Nothobranchius furzeri: one gene and its partners. The protein of the gene in region 1 interacts with the protein of each later gene in a biochemical or structural test. Links are inferred from orthologs where the notes say so. Each region holds a gene or a part of one and is shown in the gene's direction. Other genes may lie near its edges. The genes, in order: akt1, ccdc88ab, pdk1, gab2, foxo4, badb and nedd4a.

Region 1 (3,870 bases):
TTTGAGCTCATCCTCATGGAGGACATCCGCTTCCCTCGGACTCTCGGGCCGGAGGCTCGCTCGCTGCTCTCTGGTCTTCTGAAAAAAGACCCGATGCAAAGGTCAGGGCGGCGGTAACCGTACACACGAACACTCCATTCAGAAGATATTTCTAAAATTAACCATTTTTTCTACTCTAAATGTGCAGCTTTAAACTTTTTGAACTTGTGCTTCCAGGTTAGGCGGCGGTCCCGACGACGCTAAGGAAATCATGCAGCACAGGTTCTTTGCTGGGATTAATTGGCAAGATGTTTATGAGAAGAAGGTGGGTTTTGACTGGTTTCTATAAATAAAGCCAGCAGCTGTCACCTCCTCAGGGATCAATAAGGTTGTGCGCCTTGAAACAGCAGCAGCATCATCTAGAAACCATATACACTGTCAGCATCGTGGCAACTGTTACCCCCCTGACTGATGGCAGGGATGCTCAGATATAATTGTGTCTTCTCTCCTCTCCAACAGCTGGTCTCGCCGTTTAAGCCCCAAGTTACCTCGGAGACGGACACACGATATTTTGACGAGGAGTTCACGGGACAAACCATCACTATCACGCCGCCTGGACAAGGTAGCGTCAGCCTCCTGTGCTTCTGAGCACCAAACAAACATGACGGTTCATTTAGATTATTAGAGTTGGGGAAATGCTGTTAATTCAATGTTTCAAAGCAACTATGAATCCTTTAGGAATTTTTTTTATTTTTTCTAAAAATCACAGGCCTTTTGGAGAAATTCAACTCCTCATTCAGTCGTCATCAGTTTCCTCCTCTTGGACTAGTTTTATCTTCTGTTCTTGAGAGCTGAGAATTGAGTTGATAATGTTCAGCTTTTTAAATGCAAACGAAGACAATACCTAGCTCTTGTGATATTGGTGCACCCCCTTCTGGAAATGTAGTGCTATTGACAGTTTATAGTACTAAAAAAATCAGGGGTGCCCCATCCTGGTCCAGCCGAGCCGCTATCCAGCATGTTTTAGTTTTCTCCCTGCCACAACGCTCCTGATTGTTGTGAACAGGTGATTAACAGGTTTCTGCAAAGCTTCGTGACCTGCTGAACAGGTCGAGTCAAACCTCGTCTCTCTCACCGTGCCATCACAGATCAGTCAGACTTCAAAGTTGGACTTAAAACAAAACATCAGCCTTTTAATCCCTAGGGGTCCCCATACTTTTGGTTTATGGTCTGTTTTAATTTGGTTTTATAATAATTTTACTGTAATTTGGATTTTAGTGTCTTTAGTATGAACTTTGGTTGTCTCTTTGGTTGTGTAGAGTGCACTGCAAATGAACTTTGACTGATTAATTGCCATTATACACCCCTGTTGAGAGTGAAAACATATTTACTGAGAAATTGTCAAATAAACCTCTGCTTGATTCAAACATATACTGAAAGTAATAGTCAATAAATGCTAACTACAATGAAGGATACCTAAATAGAAGATTAAATGATTCTTTATCCTCTCCCTCCTCAGATGACAGTATGGAGTCTTTTGACAGTGAGCGACGGCCCCACTTCCCTCAGTTTTCCTACTCGGCCAGCGGAACGGCCTAAACGAGACATTCCTCTGGTCCCACCATCAACCGCCGCCGCCACCCTGACTGCGCTCTCTCTGCCTCGTCCTCCCTGCAGTGTCTGCAGAGCGCCGTTGTTGGATGTGTCGGTCTGCGAGCCACAGGAAGGAGGAAGTGCAAGACGAAACAAAGATAACCGTGCTCGTTCTTCATGGCCTCTGAAGACTGACCGTGAAGATAACACTACCCTGCATTTCCTGGTTGTTATGCTGTGTACTGAGCAGGCATCCTTACACCATAATGAATGGGGAAATGCAGCCATGCACAAATTGGGGTACTTCTATAACTCAATAGAAAAGGGTGTGTCGTCTATATTCCTCACTTACAATAAAATGTCAACCTTTTGAGATAGATCGTAGGCACGCTGTGGACCATAAACACCATGTGAGCAGAGAGTGTGTTGCTTGTTGAGCGGTTGATTCATCCATGTTTCCAGAGTCCATTCAGACCTTTTTTTTTATTATTATTTTTTTGGCTTCGTAAGTGAATGTACCGTATCAAATAAAGTTAATCTTCCTGCATACCTATGTGTTGTAACACATGCCTAATTCTCCTCTGAGACTGAAACGCCTTTATCTGGAAAGGATTTGTGATCCTGCCGCCCCGAGGCTAAGCCGATACGCCGTATTGCCATGCCACACCATGATGGGTCTGATAAATCTGTTGTGCAATATGATGATGCAAAAAGTGGCAGACATGCTAATTGTTTGGGTAATTAGATGGCCTGCAGTGAATTTATTTTTGTAAACTCTTTGCACATCAATGAGAGACCTAGGGTGTCCTGTTCAGGCCAATAAAAAGCTCCCTTCCGAAGTAAGTCCTTATTGTTCCTGATGCCTTTGTTTATCTGGATGCTGTGCTCTTTGTTTCCCACCGCCTGGGTCACTCAACGACCCCCTCAAAACCTCTCCTTTATATGTTTGGGTTTTTCCTCCATGTACAGTACGCTATTGGGTGTTTCCCACCCGGTGCAAATGCTGCAACCTCAGTGAGGTCTCTGACTTTTCTTTAGGAAAACTTTCCATTCAAACTTAACTTCAGGGGAAAACAGTCTTTGATTTGTTTTGAGGGGACTTCTGTCCCTTTGTGAGCTTTTGAGTTATTTATATGAGACCAACATGGATAAAGAGTTTCACTGTGCCAATGACATGCACTTTGCTGCCCAAAAATGATTGTATTTGGACCCCTATGTGTAATTTATGGTTGGTAATGACTAAATTAGCGTCTTTTATATTATGAATTCATGTGTTTTCCATCATTTCTTCCTTTTTAAACAGGCTAAAACTGACTCTTTGGAAGTTCTGTCAAGAGTTTCCAAAAGCACTTCAGTGTTTCTTTTTAAATGACTGATAATCATTAGCAAAAGTACATAATTCGTCATTGAATGTAACTTTTTTATGATATATTTAGTTCAATTGTCTGCAAACTTTTGACTCTCTTGAACCTGTTTGTGACTTATTCCTATGCACACTCCCCATTCGCGGTCACCTTTTCAAATAGGGAAATTTGTTTTGTATTTTTTACTCCATGTTTTTTTTTGTACCTGCCCGGTCTGTATTCCTGAGTGAGGACACCAGCTTTAGCAAACAAATAATATAAACTTTGTACACAGTTTTTACTTGTTTCTTTTAATTGATGAAATAAAAAAATCTTATCAGTTGCTATGCTTTGTGTATTTAAAATTGCATTTAACTCAAGTCTGAGATATTATTTAGATTAATCTTTTAACTTCCAAAACAATAGTCATTTTTTTATTATTTTTTTATTTATCATTTTGGAGAAACAATGGTTAATAAAATAAAGTATATTTATAATATTCACGTAGCAATAAGCTAAAATACTATAACTTTATTCCAACATCTGCTTATTTTTTTGTTTAGTAGTTTTTTTCCAGTGTAGTTGAGTGCAAGTTTTAAAAGGGTACAGTAACTAAAATAGGATCTACCATTTAAAGGGTTCATAACATTTAAAATCACTTTTTCTTGTTTTCTCAATTAATCTAAAAGTTTTCTGCTTTACACCTTTTTCAGACTTACAAATCCCACATTAATTTTCCACTTGATTTATCTGAAACAGAGTTGGTTTCTTTAATAAAAAAATGATATGAGTTGTAGATCATGCTTTTCTTTCCTCCTGATAAAACAAGCCATGTGTGCGAGACGAATCTTCCAACGCTCAGCGGTTCTGAATGTGTCTTGGCTGATTTCTCTGCCTCTGCAAGGCTGCTCAGGTTCACGTCCGGGCCTCTGCAGCTGCTCTGAAGATGAGCAGC
Region 2 (3,887 bases), on another chromosome or scaffold:
AACCCTTAAACATGAATAACAGTCGGGATTTGTTCAATATTGTTTTTTTTATTGCTGCGGCTTCTTTCTTTTTCCTTCGTGGTCTTTTCTCCTCTCTCTGCCTGGTCTTTTTCGTCCAAGGCGTGGGAACTGGATCACCCTGAAGATGAAGAAGCTGATCAAGCCAAAGAGCCGAGAGAGGATGCGTTCTCTCACGCTGACTCCGTCTCGGTCCGAGTTCGGAGACGTTTTCTTGCCGTTCCCTCAGGACAGCCAGGACAGCTCTTCTATAGGCTCTGGCTCCAACTCGCTGGATGACCCGCTCACGCAGAAGAGGAGCAGCAGTGAGTGCACGGAAAACGGGCACACGCACAGATGTTGACCTAAAATTCACAATTATTTACACTTTATAGATGATTAAAATTAAACCATGTTCATGATCAGAGACCGACGGATGTTTTGTGGGTGTCTGAGTGGTCGTTTGTTCCCTAACTGCTCCTTTCCATCTTTATCTCCGTGCAAAGGGAGGAGAGGGCAGCAGTGCCATGCCCAAGTGCAGGGCTCCTCCAATGGTATGCTGCGGATGGGGAGGGTGGGCGGGGCTAATGACCCAACTGTCATGGCTCTTGGGGCATGTTTTTGTGAGTTCATTGTCTGTGTCTCTCTACTGTAGTAGAGGTTACAGCTGAGCTGCACAGCAAAGAGAAACGGAGGTAAAATCACAGACTCGGTTTTAAAAATGGATGCATTTCATGTTTGAAACACAAAGCTGCGCTTGATTCCTGCAACCTTATCTCTATAAAATGTAGGTTTTCTGAATCACTTTAAGAAATGTCACCATTTTAGACAGTGGTGTGTCTAGAAAACTTTTTTTGGGGTGGCCAGGTAGGGGCCCAAGTTCGGACAAGGGTGGCACATGTATATAGCTCATATCTTTGAGAATTTTTTTAAATGAAATTACAACTAATTAATCATAAGCTAATTGGATACTATAAATGAAAATAAAGTAACCAATACCAGTGGCGCACTTTTATCAATAATTATCTGACATTTTCCCATAAATAAATGCATAAATCTATTACAATGAAATCAGGACTTTCTCTGACATTGTAAAGTCAGAATTATTTTAGAAAAGGGAGGAGGGCGCACTTTGGATTAAGTAAATTAATTTTCAGGCTAGCATTTTAGTGCATTTTAACTTTGTGGTAATTTGTAATTGTTTAAATATTTGTCAACTACAGATATAGGTTTAAAGCCTAATATCAATGAAAGAATGAAAAATATCAATGAAATATCTTTAACTAGGAATGAAATGCCCGGCCTGGTTGGTTGTTTTGTTTGAACCCAATAGTCTCATTATCTGAATTTGTGAAATGTTTTGGATCATGAACCAAGCTCTACTTTATGCTGAAAATACTAAAACATATAAAAAACTTCTAAATGTCATATTATTATATTTGATTCGATGTTCTAGATGTTTTACTGTCTCAGTTTTTGGGGTGGCCAGTCTTTTTGCAGGGGGGGCCTATGGTCTCCCAGCCTTTCTGGACACACCCCAGCCTTCAAAATAAAAGGTTTTAGTGAAGAGTCGGAAGCAAACGTGTTTCATTTTTAGTCTTTTTGAGAAATGTGTCATTTGCACACAAATATCACCAAAATACATTTGAAACATCAGCAAAAATGTAAAATCTGAGAATTATGAGAAGGCTTTTGACGATTATGTAGGAACACCTTTAATATCCACAATTATTAGTTATTATCTTTAGGCTGTTTTCTATTCATGCTCTCTTGTTATGTTGGATATGTTAAGTGTTTTAAGTTGAATTTAAATAATTCCCTCGAAGAAACCATAAAATGAAGATTAAGATGAAAGAAAGTGTTTTATAAATAAAAAAGAGCACAATGTAAACTTAATTAAATGTGCAACAACATCAAAGAAATCAGTTTAGATTAGTTTTAACCGCTATTATGTAAATAACTGTAAGAAAGGTTTTGTGATTGGACGTTAATGGTTAACTAGCTGTTTGTTGAGGGGATCAACATTCAAGCTGAATCAAGTGCACTTCGTGTATTTCAAACACTGAAACTCATTTAAGCCAAACTGCATTCCAGGTCTGTTTCTTTTAAAGTCCCCTAGCTTACACATCCAAGCTCACCAGCGTGTACACCTGCAGATCGGTGCAGCTCAACTGTAGAAAAGACAGCAACACGCTCTATCATAGCATCAAAGCTATTAAATGGTGCAAGTCTGGTCCATCCAGGATTGCTTTCTAGGACGGTAAAAAGAAAACGGGTTTATTCTCTAAACACATAAAATATTCAGGTTTTCATAGAATATTTTGATTTCCATTCAGCAAGATAACAGAACTGTTATTAAAACAGAAATCCAGAGTTTTTTCTACAAGGGCACCATCTAGAGGATACAACATGTATTACACCTTTAAGCCCCTCTCCCTACTTCTGTTAATACAGCTGGAAGCAACGCTGCTTGCTCGTAAACATTCACCTCTAGTCAGCGCGGTTTATATTCATGCATTCAGCAGACACTTTTGTCCAAAGCGACTTACAGGTGATACTGTGTTTATATATATATATATATATATATATATTAGTATATACTCTAGAAGGTGCTATATCAAATACAGGCCATTTACCATTTATACACACACACACACACACACACACACATATATATATATATATATATATATATGTATATATATATATATATATATATATGTATATATATATATATATATGTATATATATATATATACATATAATGAGCCTTGTAAAGCGCCTTGGGGGGTTTACACATATATATATATATATATATATACACGCTTTGTGGTTGACATCTGTACGTAAGCGGATGTCTGATGCTATTTGCAAATGCTTGGCGGAGCTCAAATTAAATTGTACGAGGGGGCTCTATGGGATAGGGGGTGGGTTTGGCAAAACCAAATTGACATATTGCCTTTCAGTACAGGATAAAGTGTCTTTCACACCAAATGCGGTAAGGAAGCGGCCCGTTTTCCGAACGGACGGCCTTTCACACTGACTGCAGTTTGTGTGCTGAACGTAAATGGAAAACTGCTCCTACAAGAGCACCAAATGATAAAAAAAATTGCCACAATACATTAACAAATATACCTGTAACAATAGCGTGGACTATCATACACTTAATTGATAACCCTGTCATTAATATCCAGCTAAAATAATGCGACACAAGTTTTATTTTGAAAAATACACCGGCTGTACCTCGCTGTTCCACATCTCATTTCCTGTCTGACTCATGTCATTTCTTTAACTACACGACAGTCCACATGAAATTTCATCTGAATCCACACCGCAACCGATGTGAATGCTCTGATTAGAAGCGGTATAGAAACTGGACCACATTTGTTCTGCATTTGGTGTGAAAGAGGCTTCATCCTATCACGTTTACAGATTCCTAAAAAATAATAATTCCTGAAAGGGGGAGACTCTGGATTGCTGCTTTAATGTTTATTAATGTAGGGTTAGCAAGTTACAGAGTTTTTGTTTGTTGGGAATGCTCAGTCTTCCCTGATGCCTTTAAACCCCTCTTCCTCTCTCCTGGTTGCACCCTTTAATATTGTGTGTCTCATCTAGTTGTAGTTGTGTGTTGTTGTGTGTAATACGTGAAGTTTTAAATGCTGTTCAGACTTTTAGGATCAAAACCATTTGATTGTTTCCATTTGTGTGTGTGTGTGTGTGTGTGTGTGTGTGTGTGTGTGTGTGTGTGTGTGTGTGTGTGTGTGTGTGTGTGTGTGTGTGTGTGTGTGTGTGCGCGCGCGTGTGCGCGCGTCTTTATAAAGGCTGTCCTTAATTTTCAATACATTTTTTTTTGCAAAACTCAATTAGTTATTTAGGTTATCAGAATTAAT
Region 3 (2,768 bases), on another chromosome or scaffold:
ATGAAACGTACAGAAAGTGAGATGTATGGCAGCAAGGTGCATCTGGTTTATTTAAAAATAAAACCATTGTTGCAACTGTCTGTCGGCTTGTGTAATTAATGCCCTTGATATCAGTTTGAGAAGACGGCTGTGGCTTTTGTTTACCAGCTCCTCTCTACACAATAGCTGAGTGAGGTTGCCCCCCCAAAATCTAACAAAATTGGTGTCAAACATTTGTGCTGCATTTTTGATGCTGCAACATTGTTTGTGCTACTTTCATTTTAGATATTAGTAAAGGTTTTCAAAGGTCCCCCCCCCCCCCCCTATTAAGCAAATCAATCAAAAATTTTTTAGTGAACAGAGCAGGCGATAAATATTCCTAAGATGAAAGTAAGCTGACCGAGTGACTGAACTGATATGTGACCTGAAGGACAGGGAAAAGTGGTCACGTAGACTACATTAGCAATTGTATTCACCTTTAACCCCTCCATTGGCATCAAATCAGCACAGCTTGGGTGCAGGGGGTTGACCTAGGATAACCTTTGGAAACTTTTATTTATCTTTTCAATGAAAGCAGTGCAAAAATATTTGCAGCACAAATGTTTGACACAAAATTTGAACAAGGTGTGTGTGTGTGTGTGTGGGGGGGGCAACTTTACTCAGGTTAGTTGTTCTCGTGTGAACTCGCAAGCAACTTCCCAGTCGGTGTAAATGGTAGTCCATCCGGAAGCTGTACGGATTTCAGTCTGCACGTGGTGTGAGGCTTCAGTGAGATAATTATTTTGTTTGGGTGTTCATCTTTGGTCCAGTTTTCCTATTTGGTCAAAAAACATAAAAACTACCCCTAAAAATGGAGGGAAAACATCTGTTCAGTAAACTAAATGTAGCTGAGCCAACCTACACCAGGACTGACTATAAGATTCTGCTGAATCATGGTTTGTGTTTTCCCAGGCTGGTTATGGACACGGCCTGCCCATCTCTAGGCTGTATGCTCGTTACTTTCAGGGGGATCTGAAGCTATACTCTCTGGAGGGTTATGGAACTGATGCTGTGATCTACATACGGGTAACAGAGTTTCACCATGTTAGAAGTTCCTTGTAGGATGAAAACTTAACTTTTTTCTTTTGCTTATTTCAGGCACTGTCCACAGAATCTATCGAGCGACTCCCCGTGTACAACAAGTCTGCCTGGAAGCACTACAAGACCATCCACGAGGCCGATGACTGGTGCGTCCCGAGCAAAGAGCCCAAGGACATGACCACGTTTCGTAGTTTTTAAAGCCTAAAGGCTTCTTGACGAGGCGTTTAGGGAACCTTCTCGTTAAGGAATGAGTATTTAACTGGTGTTTTAAAAAAAGATCACAGAACAAACTTAGTGCCATATGTTGTATTAGTTTTCAACTAATCATTAAGAAAACAACCACCGTGAGCTGCTGAACAACCAATATTAGTTTAAATTTGTCCAGGCTGAACAAACTGGGTGTAATGAGAAAAGGCTAAATTCTGGTAGTTCAGGACCATTTGCACAACTGTACATCTTTAAGGTGTTACAAGATCCTAGTTTATGTTACAAGTGTGCAACTTTTATTCTAAGTTTCTTTTCTGCTTCGTTATTTTGAAAAGCAAAAGGAAAAATTTAAAACGTTGCTTGATGTGGTCAAAAACTATATTATAGTTACGTGGTCGTATTTTTATTTTTTTTTACAAAAGCAACTGGATAACTAGAAGGAACAAAAATCCAGACTGTCATGTTACATCCTTGACTTTTCCGAGCTTTTCTTCCTAATGTAATGCTAACTGGTCCCAGTGTGGTGGCATTAGGACTGAACAAGTCTTAGTTTGTTGTTGCACTGTAAGCACTTAACTCAGTAGATCTATTTAGATTGTTCTAATATTTGGATTTTTGGGGTAAAAAAAACTATGCAAGTGGAATAGAGGTTTCCAAAAGGAAATGCTTGAATAAAATATATCAAATGTTTCATTTTCTTTCTGCATCTGATAAATCTGTGCAAAAAATTGCACCTGTTGTATGAAGTTGGGGGAAAAAAGCCACAAGTGAAAATGAGATTTATTTTTTTTACACTGTGTACCAAGAATCACTTCTGATTTTAAGAGTTTTCTTGCGGTCCAACATTTCATATTCTGTTCAGACGATGTAGCCATTCCGAGGAAGAGTGTGAGTTGAGTTTTCACTGCTGGGCCTCAGCAGCTCCAGACTCAAACGAGTCCTCGTGATTGGCTCATCCTTCTGCCGTAAAGTCCCGTGATGCGTCAACGCCGTGCATCGTGGTTCCACCTCCGTGATGGAGTCTGGGTCGGACGCAGCAGCTCACCTCATCCCTACCAGCCACACTATTCTACTTAGTAGAAAATTTAGATATAAAACAATAGATTTTAAGTAAACAAACAAGAAAATGCAGTTAACAGGCACATGTATAAAACTCATTTATACATTTAAAACTTTGTGGCCCCTCAAAAATTAAAAGACAAATAGTGCTTGTGTCTGTACAACAACTGTTCCTGCCAATAATTTCTGCAAACGTCTAAAAAAGAGCTGTATACGTTTTACTTCTATGTATGATCTGCAAAAAAACAATTTTACATTTTGAATACATGTTTTTCATCAAAGCTTGTAGCTTTTCAGTGGTAAAAATGTTCGAACATCCATTTTGGTCACAAACCAAGTTTGACATTCTCCATCGTTTAGTTAAAAAGTGGAAGGTGACGTTGATGCAGGTGAGAGCAAAAGTTTAAACTCAGACATTAACGGATGAACATAAATCATAACTA
Region 4 (3,887 bases), on another chromosome or scaffold:
ATGGGTTCAGCTCATACCTGGTGGGTAGGAATGGCCATTCAAATCTGTGGAAACAGATGAAAACCAAGATTCTGTTTGGATTTTCTCAGTTTGTTTACATTATTGAGCACAGAGAGTCATGTGACTTGTGTGTGTTTTGACATCAGAGGGCCCACACCCCTCTGACTCGCTCAGACAGCGGTAACTCCGAAGACAACTACGTGCCCATGAATCCTGGTTCCTCGCCGCTCAGTGCTGCCCAGGCCGACAGTCCTAAGAATATCTACATTCCCATGAGCCCCGGGCCACATCACTTTGATTTCCCAGGGTTCTCTGCAACATTACCTGCCCGCAAGGGGAGCAGTGCCTCCTTGTGTCACCGGCCCGGTCGTCTCAGCGATGTAACACCACCTCCAATCAACCGCAACCTCAAACCTAACAGGAAATGTGAGCGTTTAGACACTTAACTTTTCATTTAATTGTTGATTTCTAGAGTTTTATTTTTTTTCTGTGGATTGTTTGGTTAAAGATGTCTGGTCTGATTTTCTCCAGCAAAGCCAACGCCTCTCGATTTGAAGAACAATGGGATCATTGACGAGCTGCCGTATAAGAGCCCCGTCACCATGTCATGGACTCGGCCCATGTGAGCTTTTAACCAGACACTTGTCACAGATTTCCCAACGTTACTCACACATAATTGTTACAGCATTTTTCTGATGTTTCTCACAGTCTTTTGCGTTTTTCCTTAGGCCTGCGATTAACTCCTCCCAGCACTGTCGACCCATCTCCACTCAAAGCATCACCAGCACCGACTCAGCAGACAGCGAGGAGAATTATGTACCTATGGTAAGTTCCAGTTTGAGGACGGGAGGTGGATTTTTGATTGGCTTGTTTACGTCATTGTGTGACCGAAACCTTCTTTTAACATCAGCAAAATCCAGCATCTACCTCCCCAGTCGTGAGTGGGACCAGCAGCCCGGCCCCTCGGAAGTGTGGGAACGTGGACTACTTGGCCCTGGACTTCCAGCCTGGCTCACCCAGTCCACATAGAAAAGTGAGCAAATAGGTTTAACTTAGTTTATCCATTTTTTATTATGGCACTTTTTGTACTCACAAGAATCCTAATCCTATATGGAGCCTAAGTCTCCTCCCTTTCCAGTCGGCTCATGGGTCCCCGGAAGAACAAAAAAATTTAATGCAAGTCAACGGAGCTAAAAGAGCTATCTTCTAATCCGCTTTGCCTTACGCCCTGGATCACATATATGTTGTACTTCCATTTAAATAAAAAGTAATTGAACCATGCCTGTCACGTACTGTGAGATTTATCAGCTTATAAAAGTTCGTAATTAGCATGACTACACACCAGAGATCAGTAAGTCACATATGTGATATCACCACAGAATCTCCTCTGCCCTAGCATAGCTGCTACGTACCACATGACCAGATTTATGGAGGTTCTTTCCTCCTGAAGGAAGGATTTGAAGTTTGCTGAACTTACAGCCATTTCCCTGTTTTTCTCCATGTCTGGTTCGATTACATCACTTTTATGAAGCGCATTTGTAGTACTGGACTTATTTTCACACAAAACCTAAAATAGCGTTTCACCCCATTCGAAAATATGCGCTTTCATGTTCTCAAAATGCTTTTTTTTTTAATTCACGGACATCATGTGTGAAATCCATGGCACATAAGCGGAATTAGAAAATAGCGTTTATTCATTCTACTGGGGACCCATGGTCCGGAAGCAGATGGGCGTGACTCAGGCCTAGTCCACACGTAGCCGGGTTTTTTAAAAACGAATATCCGCCCCTCCAAAAACGTGCATCCACACCACCACGTTTTAAAAACAAACTCTGTCCACACGTACCCGGATAAATACGTTGTTAAGGAGTGGACATGCTAGACCTGTAGGCGGCAGTACTTCCCCCGTTCTTAACCTCATCCTTCGTCTGTGGTCTTCCGCAAGGAGCAGTAATTCCGCTTGCAAAAACAAACAAGCAGAAAGCGCTTGGACAACTGATAAAGCGAGCGCAGCTCTGAGGGCATCCATGCTGTCGGCTAGTGTAAACACAGGTCACACACGTGATGTCAGCATTTTTTTGTCACGGAAAGTGACGTTGCGGACCTTAAAACTCCGGTTTTGTCCGTCCACACGCAGACACTCAAAACGGAGAAAACGCAGATCTTCACTTTGGCCGGAGTTTTTAAAAAGATCCGTTTTCGTGTGAAAAAACTCCGTTTTCGTGTGGATGACAGGCCAAAACGTAGAAAAATATCTACGTTTTGGCAGATCCCCAGCTACGTGTGGACAGGGCCTCAGGCTCCCTATAGGGCATTGATTTAGGCCCTGTCCACACGTAGCCGGGGATCTGCCAAAACGTAGATATTTTTCTACGTTTTGGCCTGTCATCCACACGAAAACGGAGTTTTTTCACACGAAAACGGATCTTTTTAAAAACTCCGGCCAAAGTGAAGATCTGCGTTTTCTCCGTTTTGGGTGTCTGCGTGTGGACGGACATAACCGGAGTTTTAAGGTCCGCAACGTCACTTTCCGCGACCAAAAAATGTTGACATCATGTGTGCGACCTGTGTTTACACTAGCCGACATCATGGAAGCCCTCAGAGCTGCGCTCTGTCACTGCCTGATCCATCAATTGTCCAAGCGCTTTTTGCTTGTTTGTTTTTGCAAACGGAGTTACTGCTCCTTACGGAAGACCACAGACGAAGGACGAGGTTAAGAACGGGGGAAGTACTGCCGCCTACAGGTCTGGCATGTCCTTAACAACGTATTTATCCGGGTACGTGTGGACAGAGTTTGCTTTTAAAACGTGGTGGTGTGGATGCACGTTTTTGGAGGGGCGGATATTCGTTTTTAAAAAACCCGGCTACGTGTGGACTAGGTCTTAAACTAATAAGTTAAAACAACCAAACTTCATCGCATTTAGATTAAATTCCATGATCAAATCTAAATATTAACACATAAAACTACAGATGGAGCTAAATCCAATTATAAATGTGGAAATTTCAGACTGAATATTTCTTTACCATTAATTTAGACAGCTTCAAAACAGATTTAGTCTACCAAAAATAGCAAAGGCTAAGAGATCCCCTATGTAATGTCTCAAACTCATTGAAGAATTGATTAGTGTGGATCATGTCAATGTGCAAGTCAAACACAGACGGGAACATTAATAATGGGCTCTCAATCTTATCATTAAAGGAACTCTGAGACCTTAAATAAGGAATCTCTTCACCCTGCTTTTATTTTGGTAGGTTTGTTGAATTATTTAATGGCATTTTGAATTTAAATGCAAGTTGGTCAGTAATTGTAATTTCATAAATAAAGATTAAAAGTGGCTAAATAAGGTTATAGTTTTTTTTACTGTATTATTTATATGAGGTGTCCTATATAACATTGCTACTTAATGACTCAGCTTTTGAAAAACTTAGGTAACTCTTCACAATAAGGGCCCCTTTGTTATATATATATATGTATATATATATATATATACATACATATATACATATACATATATATATATATACATATATCAGAATCAGAATCAGAAGAATCAGAAGAATTTTATTGCCAGCGCTCCTTTCAGAGCGTAGGAACTTGACTCCACAGTACAACCTGACCAAGGTTACACACACACACACACATATAGACAAGACAGATACAGGCAGACCATGAGAGCAGCGCTCCATATAATCTCTATCCTTCTGGTCCCTCCACAGCCCTCTACCTCCTCTGTGACGTCTGATGAGAAGGTGGACTACGTTCAGGTCGACAAAGAGAAGACCCAGGCTCTACAAAACACGATGCAGGAGTGGACAGATGTGCGACAGTCAGCTGAACCTGTTAAAGGAGTAAAGTCCTGACGCTGACTTGTACAAAAATGACCAAA
Region 5 (4,514 bases), on another chromosome or scaffold:
TATATATATAATTTACAGACATACTATTGTTCTTCCACAGATGACCTGGCTAATCTGTTCAGAATAATTCAGAAATTTAGTATGTCACGCTAAAGAACAAAGACAAGGTATTTCGCCAGGTAATCCGAATCTTCTCAGATGTATCAGTCATCACCTTGGATGAACCAAGTGTCCTTAGAACACTTTCATAAACGGTTATATAATAGAGGTACATGTTGCCTCCCTGGTCTGCTGTTTACGTCTGTCACATGAGTGACTCGGTTTCCCAGAGTTCTATCCGCGCATGCGCAGATCACGTTGCCTGACAGTGGTAAACAGACGTCAGAAGGGAGTCTTCGCCTCGAGTCAAAACAAAACAAAGCAAAACAAGTCAAAAAGAGAGTGAATAAGCTAATATTTGGATAGGTACTACGAAAGAAAACTTGAAAAATCACCACCGATTGGAAACGGCTACTTGGATGACGTTTTGTGAGGATTCTCGCCGACTTTTCCACGGATTGTAAACTCTGGAGTAGCAGGAGCTTAAGCAGCTAACGTTACGGTGGTTGTGCTGTTTTTTTCAAAGTGCAGCGACTGGGGGAGCCGACAGAGTTGCGGGCCGACCAGCCTCGCGCAGCACCCGGGAACAGACTGTGAGCTGTATTTATCGAGTTCACAGAGCTAAAGAAGGAAAATTTGACCGAAATCCGTGCCTCCTTCTGGGGAGTTTTGTACACATCGTGTGCCGCGGCAGGAGAGTAGAGAAACATGGCAGATGGTGACACGCGCCTGGCCGCAATGTGGCGGATCGTGCAGACTTGAGGCACGGACTTTTTATGCTACTTTTCTACCCTCTCGACATTTTTACCACAGTAAACACTATAAAACTGGACACTAAAGCGCTCTACCTGCGTTTTTTTTCTCGTTGGATCTAGTCTGGGTGTTTCTCTCCTAGCCTGGCCGCAGAGGCGGCGAGGAGCGTCTCAGAACTGTTTGTACTTTTTTGGGGGCAGCAGAAAGTAGCTCCTCTGACAGTCAGCGGACAGACATTTTTACTCTTAACTCTTAATTCAACCGCACTGACTTGTGGCTGTTAGCTGGGTGTAGTACAATGGACTTTTTTATTGTAGTTGTGCCTTGTTAAAGAAAGTTTGGATGTTTTTTGTTTGTTTGTTTACAAATGCGGTGGTTCTCCTCAGAAGCTCCTTTGTATCAAACTAATTCCTGCGTGAGTCTTTATAGTTTTGTACTTTTGTAAAAAGAAACATTATTGGATATTGAATAATAATTCTGTTTCAACTCGTTTCAATATTATTATTTTAAACATCTAAGACGTAAATTGAGTGTTTTTCAAGTGGAATGGCATTGTTTTGTTTTAGTTGACATTTGATTGTTTTTTATTGCTTTCCATGTGAGCCAAAACATCTGTAGATCCAGATGTTTAGGTGCCCCAAATCACTCCGCCACTTTTGTTTGTTTCATTGAAACAAAAGGACTCCAGTCACAGTCCTCCTTCACTCTGTATAAATCGGAAGGTTTATAATAGTTACTATTAAGGAGATTATTTGGGTTCCCTAATCTCCAATCTGAGGATTAACCAAGGCCATTGGTGTGTCCAGATTATTGTCTCTTCTAGACTTCTCGGTAGACACCCCCAGTTGTGGTTTTTTTTTTTTGTGGATCAAAAAGTTTCTCTTCGTACTTTGATCTACTTTTAAACTGTTAGGGGTCATTTTTTAAAGAGAAACTTGGTGAAAGAAAAGTTCAGGGAACCGCCATGATGGACGACTCGTCGATGCCCCCCATCGACCCAGATTTTGAGCCACAGAGCAGACCCCGCTCCTGCACGTGGCCTCTCCCGAGACCCGACATCTCTGTTGTCAAACCGGAGGGGACGGACGGCACGGAGTCAGCCGCCGGGACCCCGCCTGCCGATGAGGACAAGCCCGATCCGCAGCAAATCACGTCTGAGCCGGAGAAAGCGGCGGCAGCGGCTGAGGGCGTGGCTACAGCCGGTGTGGGCGGGGCTGGAGCGACGCCCCGCAAAGGATCATCCCGGCGTAACGCTTGGGGGAACCAGAGCTACGCTGATCTGATAAGCCAGGCTATCGAGAACTCACCGGAAAAGAGGCTGACCCTGGCTCAGATCTATGATTGGATGGTGAAAACTGTGCCTTACTTCAGAGATAAAGGAGACAGCAACAGCTCAGCCGGCTGGAAGGTGAGTTCAAATGTTAAAAACAAGTGTTTTCAGCTTTTTTATATGTAAATTTTTTTGATTAATCTGTAAATATAATCTTCCTACCTGCAGCTGTTGGATTTGATAATTTTCTATTTTGTCTGTTTTCAGAACTCGATTCGCCACAATTTATCACTCCACAACAAGTTCTTGAGGGTACACAATGAATCAACAGGTAAAAGCTCCTGGTGGATGCTGAATCCTGAAGGGGGGAAGACTGGAAAAGCTCCTCGTCGCCGAGCTGTCTCCATGGACAACAGCAGCAAACTGCTGAAGAGCCGCATGAGAGCCAAGCAGACCAAAAAGCAGGCGGGAGCGGCCGGCACAGGAGGGGGGCTGCCAGGCGATGGCAGCACCGGTTCAGCCGGTGCCGACAGCCCTAACTCATCCCAGCAGTTTCCTAAATGGGGCGTCAACAGTAGCAGCCCCTCGTCCCGCGGCAGCCTGGACGATGGGGACATGTGGACAACTTTCCGCCCCCGCACAAGTTCTAATGCCAGCACCCTGAGTGGACGTCTGTCCCCCATCGCTCCTGTCCAAGAGGATGACGATAACCTGCCTGAGGACAGTTTGCTGGGGAGATACACCAGCAGCAGCTTGACCCCCACCCTCACAGAGACCGTCATGGAGGAGCTGGATCTGATCGACAACCTGACCCTGATGACTGGGCAGCAAGGAGGGGCCAGCCCCAGCACAGCCCCACCAGCACCTCCCACTCCACTACCTTCTGCCTCCACCCTGCTGCCACGGGCTTCCAACTTCTCCTCCTTCCATCAGCTGCAGCCAAACAGCGTCTCCCAGGCCCCTGCCAACACCGGGACCCAGGCCTCTGTCTCTCTGTGTGGACCGAGCAAAGAGCCAGCGACCTTCAGCAACTCCATCTTCAACCCCATGCCCAGCCCCGTCTCTTGTGGAAGCAGCCATTACTGCAGCCATGTCCCTTCCAGTCTGGAGGCGCTCCTCACCTCAGACTCCCCTCCTCCAAGTGATATTTTGATGGCGCAGGTGGACTCTCTCATGCCTAATTCTGGAGGGATGGGTCCAATGGGTTTGGGCTCATCTGTGGTGGGTTTGAGGCCCAACTCCAACCAGCTACAGGTGGGTAAAGGGCTGGAGCCCAGCACTGTGGCACCAATAGCGCTGCAGCCTCAGATGCAACCTCAGCAGCATCACCTCCATCACCACCATCAGCAGCAGCATCACTCTCAGATGGGCATAGGGATGATCCTCTCAGGTATGTCTCAGGACCCATCATCGCTCTCTACTATGAACCAGTTTCCAGCTCCACTCAGCTTCCCCACAGGCCAGGACCGTCTGCCTACAGACATAGACATAGAAATGTTCACAGAAAACCTGGATTGTGATGTGGACTACATTATTAACAGTGACCTCATGGATGGAGATGGCATGGATTTCAACTTTGACCCCATCCTGCCCGGAGGTCAAGGTTACACCGGCCCGTCCACACAGGGGCCGGCTCACAGCTGGGTACCCAGCTAATTCTGCAGCTCAACACACGAAACTAGCCAGGTACATGGACTTCTCTCTCTGTTGATCATGTCTCAGGGACACTTTGGGCCTTTAATGAGCTAATAAGCAACATTATTTAGTGGTAAAGTGAGGTTAAACAGAGAAACCGTGTAGATACTCATATTGTAAGAGGCCATGCGGTCAGGTTATCATTTCAGAGCTGAAAATTTGTTAAATAGTTAATCTGCAATTAATCGTAAGCAGATATTTACAGCTTTTATTGTCCCAAATGACGGTTAGCCTTTTTGTTTTCTGTAACTGTGAATTTACTATTTAAGTCATTTGAGTCTACGTGATTTATTAAAGAAGTGAGAGCGTGCTACATTTTCACACACATCTGCGTACACGGATGTAATCAAGCTTTTAAGTGCATCGCTTCCGTTCCCAGGACGAGCCAATCAGCATCAACATTAATGACTCTTGTATCGATCTCCTTGTCTTGCAGGATCTGACCTCTTGCTCAACAACGGGGCGCCCCTCCTCCCAGCAGGCTCAAAATGCTTTCCCATAAAACGCAAACTTTCTCTCTCGGATGTTAAAACAGCAAAACCCGGGCCTGACCCATGTCACGTGCCAAGACACGCGTAGGACAGTGAGGAGATTCAGGCTACTATGCACAGTTTATTTTTTCTTTTCTTACAATCTGAACTGATTTTTTAAAGGATGTGCGTGAGAGCGTATTTTTGGAGTGGAAAGACAAGTCATCATCTCCTCTGTCCTGGGAGTTCATCAGAGTAGCTTTAGACAAGGTGTCCCCAGATTTATT
Region 6 (4,542 bases), on another chromosome or scaffold:
TAGATGCAGCTCAGAGAACATTAATAACAAATGTGTATTTCAGACAAACTCTCAGACTCGGCTGTTGGGTAAAAGCTTGTCTTATTTATGATCTCCAACTCTTGTTCTGCTCAGAAATACAAACTGCAGCGTGCACACACCGTGCACGGTGTGTGCACGCACCATGCACATGCTTGAATCCGGTGTGTCAGTTGGATAAAGCCTGGAGAAAACAGCTGCACGGAAAATGGTCCTAAAGAGCAATTCATCACCAGCATCTCCAGTGTTTTCTTTCCCACTCTGGAAAGGAGCTCTGACCTTCTACACTTACACACACACACACACACACACACACACACACACACACACACACACACACACACACACACACACACACAGTGTTAGCACATGACCTTTGGGTTTAAAATGCCTGCATGTTTGCCGATGATTTGAGCTGATAAGATGCTGAACACTTGAAGACGTGCACTAATACATCGTAGTGAAATGAGTTCCTGCACCTTGTTCCCGTGGCGACAGCCATCCATCACAGCCTTGCTGTTATTAGTTTTATGTAGGTGTGGATTGTTCTGCTGATGTTACATCATCTCCTCAGTTTTGCTGACCAAAGTTTTCATTATATCCATCCATCCATTTTCTGAACCCACTTTGTCCACGTAGGGTCGCGGGGGGCTGGTGCCTATCTCCAGCGGTCAATGGGCAATCAGGCGGGGTACACCCTGGACAGAGAGCCAGTCCATCGCAGAGTTTTCATTATAGTTTAATAGAAATACGCTTCGGTACTTTCAAACTTTCCTGTTGTTTTTGTGTGAAATCGCTGAAACAGGAACTCACTGTGAAGCTCTACAGTCAGATTTAACGCCTCCTTATTCTTGGTTATGAATTTAGAATTTGAACGCACCCAAAAACAGACAAAAATATCATTAATTGAGCAGAAATAACGACGCCATTGGCCAGCAAACGGGTGGTGAACTAGTTCAGACAGTGGCCCAGATACAAGGAACAGAGAAAGGATGGAGAGATGAGAGGTGGAAGTGAAACCGTGAGAAAGGGGGGAAGAGAGCGGGGTGATGGGTGGGAATGGTGACCTTAGTGATGACATAAGTTAACCACAGAGGAAGCACTGAAAATGTGAACTTCCTCTTGATGGAAAAACCAAATTGTGTTTGTGAAGTTGTTCCTCTTCTCATCACTGTCCCACCTAAAGTGTAGAAGAGGATGGATAACCTACGTTTCTCGTGAGAGGTGGAGAGGAAACAGCAGCGTTAGCAGGGCCATGACAGATTTATAGTAAATTATGTGCAGCGATGCAGTGAGATTAGCAGCTTTAGACCATCATCCAGTCCTGCCCTGTTCAAGATGGCCGCCACAGTCAACAGAACAAGATGAAAATGCTTCTAACTCAGAGGATTCCACAGATATTGAGTCATTTTTCTGTGTGTGAGAGTCATTCACATCACACACTCCAAGCTCTGACATCGAGCATCAAGTCATTTTGGAGATTTGACCGAAACTCCATCAGATGATCAGAATGCATCAAAGGTTTGTTTCGGTGTTCAGAGTTCGTGTGTCTTTGGGTTATTTTGTTCTCGTGTTTTCTGCTTCTTCTCCCTGAGGTTTCCTCGGGTCGTCTCCGGCTTCTGCTTCCTTCTGTGGGTTCTGAGACCGTTGCTGGTACCCAGGCGCTTACATGATCGCTCTGGTTAGCTTCTTCACTTCCCGCCTCCTGCTTACAGGTCCGACATCCTCATCACTAAAGCGTTCAGGATGACTCATCACTTCGACTACATTCCTAACTAGGAACCAGTTTTACAGAACAGTCATGGAATGTAATGAAGTACAATTACTTTGCATTGTACTTGGATACTCCCACTTTTACTTAAGTAACTATAAGTAGTTCATTACTGTACTTAAGTACATTTTTTCTGTATCTGTACTTCATGTAACTAATTTTATTGAGGCCTACTTTTTACTTTGCTTTGTCCGACCCCCACCTGTACTCTACTACCACGCCGTACTGGAGTTGCAAAGGTAATTTTATTAGCCCCTCCCCCTTGGTTCCACAGAACACTTCTACACACACACCACACACGGTAAATGGTAAATGGCCTGTATTTGTGTAGCGCCTTTAGGGTTCTACAACCCCCCAAGGCTCTTCACAACACAATCAGTCATTCACACATCCATACGCTGGTGGGGATGAGCTACAGTGTAGCCACAGCTGCCCTGGGGCTCTCTGACAGAGGTGAGGCTGACAACCACTGACCACCACCAGCAGGCACGGTGCGTTAAGTGTCTTGCCCAAGGACACAACAGCAGCATTCTCTGGTCGGAGCCGGGATCGAACCTGCAACCTTCCAATTAGAACCTGCTCTACCTCCTGAGCTAGTGCTGTTGCTTATTTAAAGCTTCTTTCCGGAGTGTTTCTCTTATCCGATGGCACCATCTAGTGGCTGACGAGCGTATCACACAAAAACGCCATTCCTTTGTTTTATTTAAGATGGCGACTTCACGTTTCTGTTCATAAATGTGCTTCTGTAGCCGACAAACGGAGCTAAAACACGTTGTTTTACGAGTATTATTCTCATGTCGTGTGTTTTCATATATTTATATTTTAGAGACTTGCTTGTCGATGAAAAGTTCATCAACTCTGCGTCAGCCGAGGTATTCCTTAAATGTGAAGCGTCTAAGCGGTAGTCTAACGCTATTGGTTAGTTCTGGTCGGTGCTCGGTTTCCTATTGCACAGAGGCAGGGGGCGTGCTTAGCAAAGAAAAAAAAGATGTATTGCTTATATTTGATCACAGTACATGATAAGATAATCACTTTTACGGATTTCTGACAAATCATACATCGTTTCTGAAAGAGGAAAACTCCGGAAAGCAGCTTTAACTGTTAGATGAAGACTTTTGCTTTTCTACTTTTGAGTACTTTTGAAAGTGCATACTTTAATACTTTTACTTAAATCATTATCTTCTTGGATACTTCCACTTTTCCATAGGTTATTTTCTTCACCTGTTCATCTGCACTTTTACTCAAGTAAAAAAAAAATCAAGTACTCCTCCCATTACTGGTGCAGGTAGAATAAAACTCCTTTTAAAAACATTACTTTCATTTGCATTTCCTACTTAATTTTTATTGGACAAACATCGACTTTCAATAGTAAAATACTAATTTAGCTTTACATACTTGCCTTTCTTTTATTAGGCTACATTGCACAGATAGTCTCTTCTATAATGACGTTACTACTACTACTACTACTATTATTATTATTATTGGTTTTATTATTATTATTATTATTATTTAAAAAAAAATTTTATTATTATTATTATAAATATTATTATTAATATTATTTTATTGTTATTATTATTATTATTAAATTCTTATTATTGTTATTATATATTTTTTGTATATTTGTATGCTTTCACTGAAGTGCCAGAATCAATCCATGCTTCTAAGGCAGTTTCAGGGTTAGTTTATGGAAAGCGTCCTTCTGATGATGTGGGCACTTCCGAGAAGAACAATCTTCTGGATTTCTTGGACTGTTGGGTTTCCAGGAATCTGTTTTGTTCTCTTTTCCAGTCCCTTCTTGATGAGGCCAAGTGCACCCACTACGACGGGTATTGTTGCTGTCTTCATCCCCCACATTCTTGTGACTTCTATTTCCAGATCCTTGTACTTTGATAGCTTTTCAAGCTCCTTGGTGGTGACATTTTTTTCAGATGGGATGGTCATATCAATCATGAGGCAGGTCTTCTCTTCTTTGTTTTTGATGACTATGTCTGGTCTGTTGGCCATGATTTCTCTGTCTGTGTTGATTGGCATGTCCCACAACACTGCGATGTTGTTGTTTTCAGTCACTGTTGGTGGTTGGTGTTCATACCACTTATCTGCAGCTGGTAGATGGAAATGTTTGCAAATCTTCCAGTGGATATAGCTTGCTGCCCTGTCATGTCTGTGGATGTACTCAGTTCTGGCTAGAGTGGGGCAGCCTGAGACAATGTGGTCAATGGTTTCTTCATATTGGCTGCACATTCTACACATGGGGTCTGTTCCGTCTTTAATGATCTTGTGGTGGTATGATCTCGTTGACAGGCTCTGGTCTTGTGCTGCTATCAACAATCCTTCAGTTTCTGCCTTCAGTCCTGCACTGCGTAGCCACTGATGAGTATGATCTTGTTCTACATCTGCTTTTTTTACTCTCAAGGGGTATTGTCCATGCATTGGTTTTTCCTCCCATGTTTCTCTCATCCTTTTTTGTGCCCATTTCTTTGCCTCCCTTCTGGTCCTCTTGGCAAAGCTTGTCACTGTTTCTTTCTCTATTCTTGCCACCTCTGGGATGTTTAGTTCCTGTGCATATCTTATAGCTTCTTTTGTAACAGAGTAGAGCTTCTTTCGAGCTTCATGTTGACAAACGAGGATCAGTAGGGCATCGTCTGTTGTTTCAAGGTAGGTTTTCAATGCCATTGTTGTTGTTTTGTAAGCCATCTCAAGTTGTGTAAGTCCTCTGCCTCCAATCTGTCTTGGTAGATACATTCTTTCAACAT
Region 7 (4,583 bases), on another chromosome or scaffold:
AAATCACCAAATGTGGTCTACACTATTATTCAGGACAAAAAGGGTAGATTAAACACTTTCAAGGAAAAATATACTAAAAATCTTTACATAGTAGTAATAAGGAAAAGATTTGCTGTAGAACAAAGATCAACACAGATCAAGCAGCTCCTTCAGCCACTCGGAAATGGAACCAAACTGAGAACATTGATGTACAAACTGGACTTTTACAAATTGCCTTCTCACTCTTTTAACCTGTTGTTTATTATTAAATTAGTAGAATTTTCCCCTAAATTGTTCAAAATAGTCTGTACTGTAGAGGATTAAAAACTTGAACTGTTTTAAAAACATTCAAGAACTAAACCATCGATGTAGCATATTCCAGATTAGATGCTGCATACAAACAGTAACTGTTACACAGTGACTGAGAGGTTGGTTAAATACCTAAAAGTAAATAAACACAGCTTAAGAAACTAGTTCATCCACCTGCTGCACCTGCTGATTGATTTTTCCAGTCTTTACTCGAACCACACCTCTCTGACTCAGCTTGTAGTGACTACACAGCAGACTGGTTCTCTGAAAAGTTGATTAAATACCGCCTTTGTTTTTGTTCACTTTGATACCAAACTCATGGAGTTCTTAAGGGACGTGTCTCTGTATTATTGCCGCATGACGTCATTCTATATAAGCATTTGATATTGTATGGCCATTGCATTACTGTCACACGGTTCTGTTGGTTTAAAAAATAGGTTAGGAGTTCCACAGCGTCCTGCAGTGAGTCATGTCCTTATCCCGGCCGTGACTTCCATTATTATACTTTGGAAGCAAAGTAATGCCCTGAAATAGGTCAGGCAGCCTCACTGTTAATAAATTAAACTGTCAACATCTATGGAGAAGTAATAAGAGCAGCATTGACTGTTACATGAGGCATCAGATAACCAGTTTCATGACATTTATTTTTTCTTAAAACCTCACGTTTTTCTCATTAGGCAGCAGCTGTCCTGTTCCCTGCAGGAAATATTTAAAGTCACTGCTAAAACACTAAAAGGAGCTCTTGTGTTATCCTAATGAGCTCTGTGATTTACTGTCTGAAATGTGCTTTTGCAACCTGCTCCTTGGTTTGATGCAGAATTTTGTTGACATTCACTCGTTTGATTTCCTGTAATTCAATAGCAATGGGTAAAACTATTTGTGGGGCACAGAGCAGCAGAAACATTAGTAGCATAGCAGCAGCAGGAGTCCTGAGCGAATGGGCCAACGCAGATGTGACACTTTACCAGAGCTTCAGTCTAAAATGCAGCACGTTGGACTGTCATGCTTTTGTTTGTTTTTCTTTATTTTCAGAAGAAAAATGCTAATTTGTCTGTTTTTTTTTTTGGAGGCACAGTCGAGTTACGCTAGGCTTTTATTAGAATGCAAAGCTGAGGAAAAGGTTTTCCAATTATCTTTAGAGTAGCTTTGTTCTTCTTTATTGGGCCGAGGAATTTTAAAGGGGCTAATGGTTCGGTTTGAAAGGTCATGTGTTTGGGTCATGTCTCCAAACAGAACCACTGGCCTGCTCTGACTAAAAGCTGAGATCAGCCTGGAGAGGAATGTAGCTTGTCACCAGAGCTATTTTGGCAATGCGCAGCTACTAATGATTGTGATCACAGCGCATGGAGCTGTTGCGTTTGCTCTCGTTTTTTTTTTCCACCAGCAAGTTTGATCATGTACGTCTCGCCAGCCCTACAGGGATTAGTGAGTTGAACAAATGTCACATCAGCTCCGTTTGCATTTTGCGTCAAGGAGAAGCAACACGGACCCCCTGTCGGAAAGCCTCAGCAGCCAAGGTGAAGAGAGTGGAGTCAGTCTGTCGGCTCATGGCCCAGCGGAGAATCTGGCGCACAGCTCTGTTCACTTGAAGGTGACTCCTCTGTCACCAGACGTTGCCAGCAGTCAGTGCTCTTCAGTGTTCATACCCAGGGTTCACGCTGGAGGGTGTAATAAGAAGAGCGTTTTGCAAATTGCGCTGCAGCCCTGTGGGAAACTCGGTGGAAAACTGGATTGCAGTTTAGAAGATGGAGAACCAGGGGCTTGTGAAGTTGGAGCAGGTACCGGCTCTGACGGAGGTTCATGCAACAGCAGCATGGCCAGCGATGCGGGGTACTGTAGCAGCAGCAGCATCTTTGAGCCAGAGCTTCCAGAAAAGCACAGGACAATCCAGGAGAGGACTCTGCTTTGTCGCAAGTCCAAGGTCCCGCTGCGACGATGCTCCTCACTGATTATTATTCCGAAGAGCCCATGTAGCACTCCACCTGCTTCCCCAGGATGTGCTGTGACTCCGTTTGCTTACCCACTGCCAAAGGGTACTAATCAGTCACATCTTCAGACGTCTTTCAGTGATTTCTCCCAAGAGAAAGTAGGGGCGAGCTCCACTGTAGCAAGTGGACACCAAACATCAAAACGAAGCTGCTCATCTGAACTTAGGGACATGAAACACATGGTCCACTTTAATATTCCTCTACAGGATGGAACAAAATGCAAATCAGAAGGCAATAGCGCGTTGATGGAGCTTCCGTCAGCCTCAGACAGACCTAATCTTCACTCTAGCAGCGTGCTGCTGCATTTTGCCCACCAGAAACCAACAGTATCTACCAAGGGAGTTGTGGAAATGGTTGCAGCCAACGAAGCTCACCACCAAGTTCACCTATCTCAAAGGGAAAACATCAATCACAGAAAACTGTATCGCAGTACCTCTGCTTGTTTGTTTTCTTCATCCAAGCCATCAGAGAAAAACGATAAAAGCGGTTTGTCTGGAAAAGATCAAATCGGGCTTGGTGAAAAGCATCGTGCCATACAGAGGAGCTTTTCCCTCGAGGTGCCCTACCCTAACACTGGAATTTCATGCCACGTTTCTAACCCCGAGCTCTGCAGCCCTCGCTCCCCACATGTGCACATTCATTTATCCCCATGCTACCCCGGAAGGTTGCGAAGCTCTGTTACAGATGTTAAGAATCACAAAGAAAGTAATGCAGTAAAGGGTTCAGTTCAAAATGACAAGGTGAGTATGACATTTCTAACTCTTTAGAGGCTTTATATTGATCACCTAGTAGCCTTTTGTCAGCACTCTAGACCTGCTGCCACTGTTGTCAAACAAGTTTGAGTAGATTCCACTCCGTCATTGGTTCAGCCTCTCCTGCATCAATGTTCAGACATATCGAGAGTTTCTAATGAGTAGTATAAATAAACACCGCTTGATTAATTGTTTGTTGTAAACTTGCAGCTTTTAACTGATTGGTTGTTTTCATCAATGAAAATTTCTAAGTTCCAGTACACTGGAATAATGTCACCCTAAAGTCTTAAACTGTTTTTGCTTTGACTTTAGCATTAGACTGGTTACAAGACTTCTAGTAACTGAGAAGCCCTTTAACTTTAAGTCATGTATTTAACAAGCTGTGTGTGGACAAACATTCAGAGGTGTTCAGTTACATTACAGTAAATCCATCTGCATATTGGATACCAAGAAATGTGTAAATTAGAAAGACAGGTTCTCCATCTTGTGAATACCAGCATTCATCAGTGTGAAAACACAATTTCAGTAGAGTTTTCCACTTTTATTATTCTGTTAGCACTATAAGTGATCAGGTTAAGTATTTACCATGGCTATTTATAGAGTTGGGAAGCGCAGTGCCCCATGCCGATATAAATAAGGTGCCTCTGAAATATTCCCCCTGACTCCGGATAGTCTGCTGGTCTGTAGCACTGCCCAAAACCTGTGGATTCAAATTTAACAGCATGATACTAGAGTGGTGCACAGTCATGTCGGCTATCTGCGTACATGTGTGTGTGTGTGTGTGTGCTCGTTTCCAAGTAAACGGGTGGCGTGCTACCATCCCTGTGGGTCCCCCCACCAAGCAATGTTTGTGAAATATCAGCTGTCAGTCTCTTCCTGCGTTTAGCAGGTTGTCAAAGAGGGTCCACTTAAGACTTTTTAAATCTGCAAAGGTTTGTTTTCATATCCTTTTACTAGGGCTGAACGATTTTGGAAAACAATCTTAATTGCGATGTTTTCTTCAATACTGCAATTGTGATTGAATTCACGATTATTTTCTCAAGGGGTTTTTCTCATATTTTTCAACTAACGGAAGCAGAAAAAAAATGTAACTTGTACTGAATATAAACAAGTTTATGTATCTACATATGTATCTACATATCATATCAACAAGTTTATTTGTCTACACATCCATAAACACTCACAAGCCAAGACAAAATCTTGTATTCGAAGGTGCAATGCTTTGCAGCCAGGAGCACATCCCTTGAAGTCGCATAGGTATTGGCATCACCTGTGAAAATTTATTTGCAGGGAAGAAATGTGTCCCGTTTATTGAAGTCTTTTGTGCTTATAGTTTTTGACGTCTTGTCCATGCAGAGCTACTGTAGTTCAGTTACATTCATAGCTGCTAGCCAAAACTCTGTGGAGTTAAAGTCTATTACGGTTTTCTAGCTTTACTAATATATCTGTCTGTACTTATTTGATTAATGGCAGTTTTTACATTTTATTAGACTCCAAATGTAATCATTTGGTACGTTTCTAATTCGTAATTTGTAAGAATGTAATCGGCGATAGT

The links.
Region 2: the proteins of akt1 (region 1) and ccdc88ab form a complex in vitro, tested with the Homo sapiens proteins (2 studies listed by BioGRID, with this or other methods). The link is inferred for Nothobranchius furzeri from reciprocal best matches to the Homo sapiens genes AKT1 and CCDC88A.
Region 3: of the proteins of akt1 (region 1) and pdk1, one has a biochemical effect on the other in vitro, tested with the Homo sapiens proteins (3 studies listed by BioGRID and IntAct, with this or other methods). The link is inferred for Nothobranchius furzeri from reciprocal best matches to the Homo sapiens genes AKT1 and PDK1.
Region 4: of the proteins of akt1 (region 1) and gab2, one has a biochemical effect on the other in vitro, tested with the Homo sapiens proteins (2 studies listed by BioGRID). The link is inferred for Nothobranchius furzeri from reciprocal best matches to the Homo sapiens genes AKT1 and GAB2.
Region 5: the proteins of akt1 (region 1) and foxo4 form a complex in vitro, tested with the Homo sapiens proteins (2 studies listed by BioGRID, with this or other methods). The link is inferred for Nothobranchius furzeri from reciprocal best matches to the Homo sapiens genes AKT1 and FOXO4.
Region 6: of the proteins of akt1 (region 1) and badb, one has a biochemical effect on the other in vitro, tested with the Homo sapiens proteins (6 studies listed by BioGRID, with this or other methods). The link is inferred for Nothobranchius furzeri from reciprocal best matches to the Homo sapiens genes AKT1 and BAD.
Region 7: of the proteins of akt1 (region 1) and nedd4a, one has a biochemical effect on the other in vitro, tested with the Homo sapiens proteins (3 studies listed by BioGRID, with this or other methods). The link is inferred for Nothobranchius furzeri from reciprocal best matches to the Homo sapiens genes AKT1 and NEDD4.

Annotation. Positions count from the first base shown.
Region 1 is NC_091758.1:33,903,075-33,906,944, reverse strand, and holds the end of akt1 (RAC-alpha serine/threonine-protein kinase), read left to right. Parts: coding exon 1-101; intron 102-216; coding exon 217-304; intron 305-498; coding exon 499-601; intron 602-1,498; coding exon 1,499-1,578; 3' UTR 1,579-3,260; downstream 3,261-3,870. UniProt on the Homo sapiens protein: AKT1 is one of 3 closely related serine/threonine-protein kinases (AKT1, AKT2 and AKT3) called the AKT kinase, and which regulate many processes including metabolism, proliferation, cell survival, growth and angiogenesis.
Region 2 is NC_091752.1:26,346,624-26,350,510, forward strand, and holds part of ccdc88ab (girdin), read left to right. Parts: intron 1-120; coding exon 121-323; intron 324-503; coding exon 504-551; intron 552-3,887. UniProt on the Homo sapiens protein: Bifunctional modulator of guanine nucleotide-binding proteins (G proteins). Acts as a non-receptor guanine nucleotide exchange factor which binds to and activates guanine nucleotide-binding protein G(i) alpha subunits.
Region 3 is NC_091754.1:20,885,076-20,887,843, forward strand, and holds the end of pdk1 (pyruvate dehydrogenase (acetyl-transferring) kinase isozyme 1, mitochondrial), read left to right. Parts: intron 1-930; coding exon 931-1,044; intron 1,045-1,116; coding exon 1,117-1,257; 3' UTR 1,258-1,957; downstream 1,958-2,768. UniProt on the Homo sapiens protein: Kinase that plays a key role in regulation of glucose and fatty acid metabolism and homeostasis via phosphorylation of the pyruvate dehydrogenase subunits PDHA1 and PDHA2.
Region 4 is NC_091753.1:44,951,213-44,955,099, forward strand, and holds part of gab2 (GRB2-associated-binding protein 2), read left to right. Parts: coding exon 1-20; intron 21-146; coding exon 147-426; intron 427-531; coding exon 532-622; intron 623-728; coding exon 729-825; intron 826-910; coding exon 911-1,033; intron 1,034-3,717; coding exon 3,718-3,861; 3' UTR 3,862-3,887. UniProt on the Homo sapiens protein: Adapter protein which acts downstream of several membrane receptors including cytokine, antigen, hormone, cell matrix and growth factor receptors to regulate multiple signaling pathways.
Region 5 is NC_091741.1:84,782,793-84,787,306, forward strand, and holds foxo4 (forkhead box protein O4), read left to right. Parts: upstream 1-1,607; 5' UTR 1,608-1,756; coding exon 1,757-2,200; intron 2,201-2,329; coding exon 2,330-3,718; 3' UTR 3,719-3,748; intron 3,749-4,193; 3' UTR 4,194-4,402; downstream 4,403-4,514. UniProt on the Homo sapiens protein: Transcription factor involved in the regulation of the insulin signaling pathway. Binds to insulin-response elements (IREs) and can activate transcription of IGFBP1.
Region 6 is NC_091754.1:60,854,584-60,859,125, forward strand, and holds the start of badb (BCL2 associated agonist of cell death b), read left to right. Parts: upstream 1-1,515; 5' UTR 1,516-1,539; intron 1,540-4,542. UniProt on the Homo sapiens protein: Promotes cell death. Successfully competes for the binding to Bcl-X(L), Bcl-2 and Bcl-W, thereby affecting the level of heterodimerization of these proteins with BAX. Can reverse the death repressor activity of Bcl-X(L), but not that of Bcl-2.
Region 7 is NC_091749.1:60,023,819-60,028,401, forward strand, and holds the start of nedd4a (E3 ubiquitin-protein ligase NEDD4), read left to right. Parts: upstream 1-1,519; 5' UTR 1,520-1,726; coding exon 1,727-3,016; intron 3,017-4,583. UniProt on the Homo sapiens protein: E3 ubiquitin-protein ligase which accepts ubiquitin from an E2 ubiquitin-conjugating enzyme in the form of a thioester and then directly transfers the ubiquitin to targeted substrates. Specifically ubiquitinates 'Lys-63' in target proteins.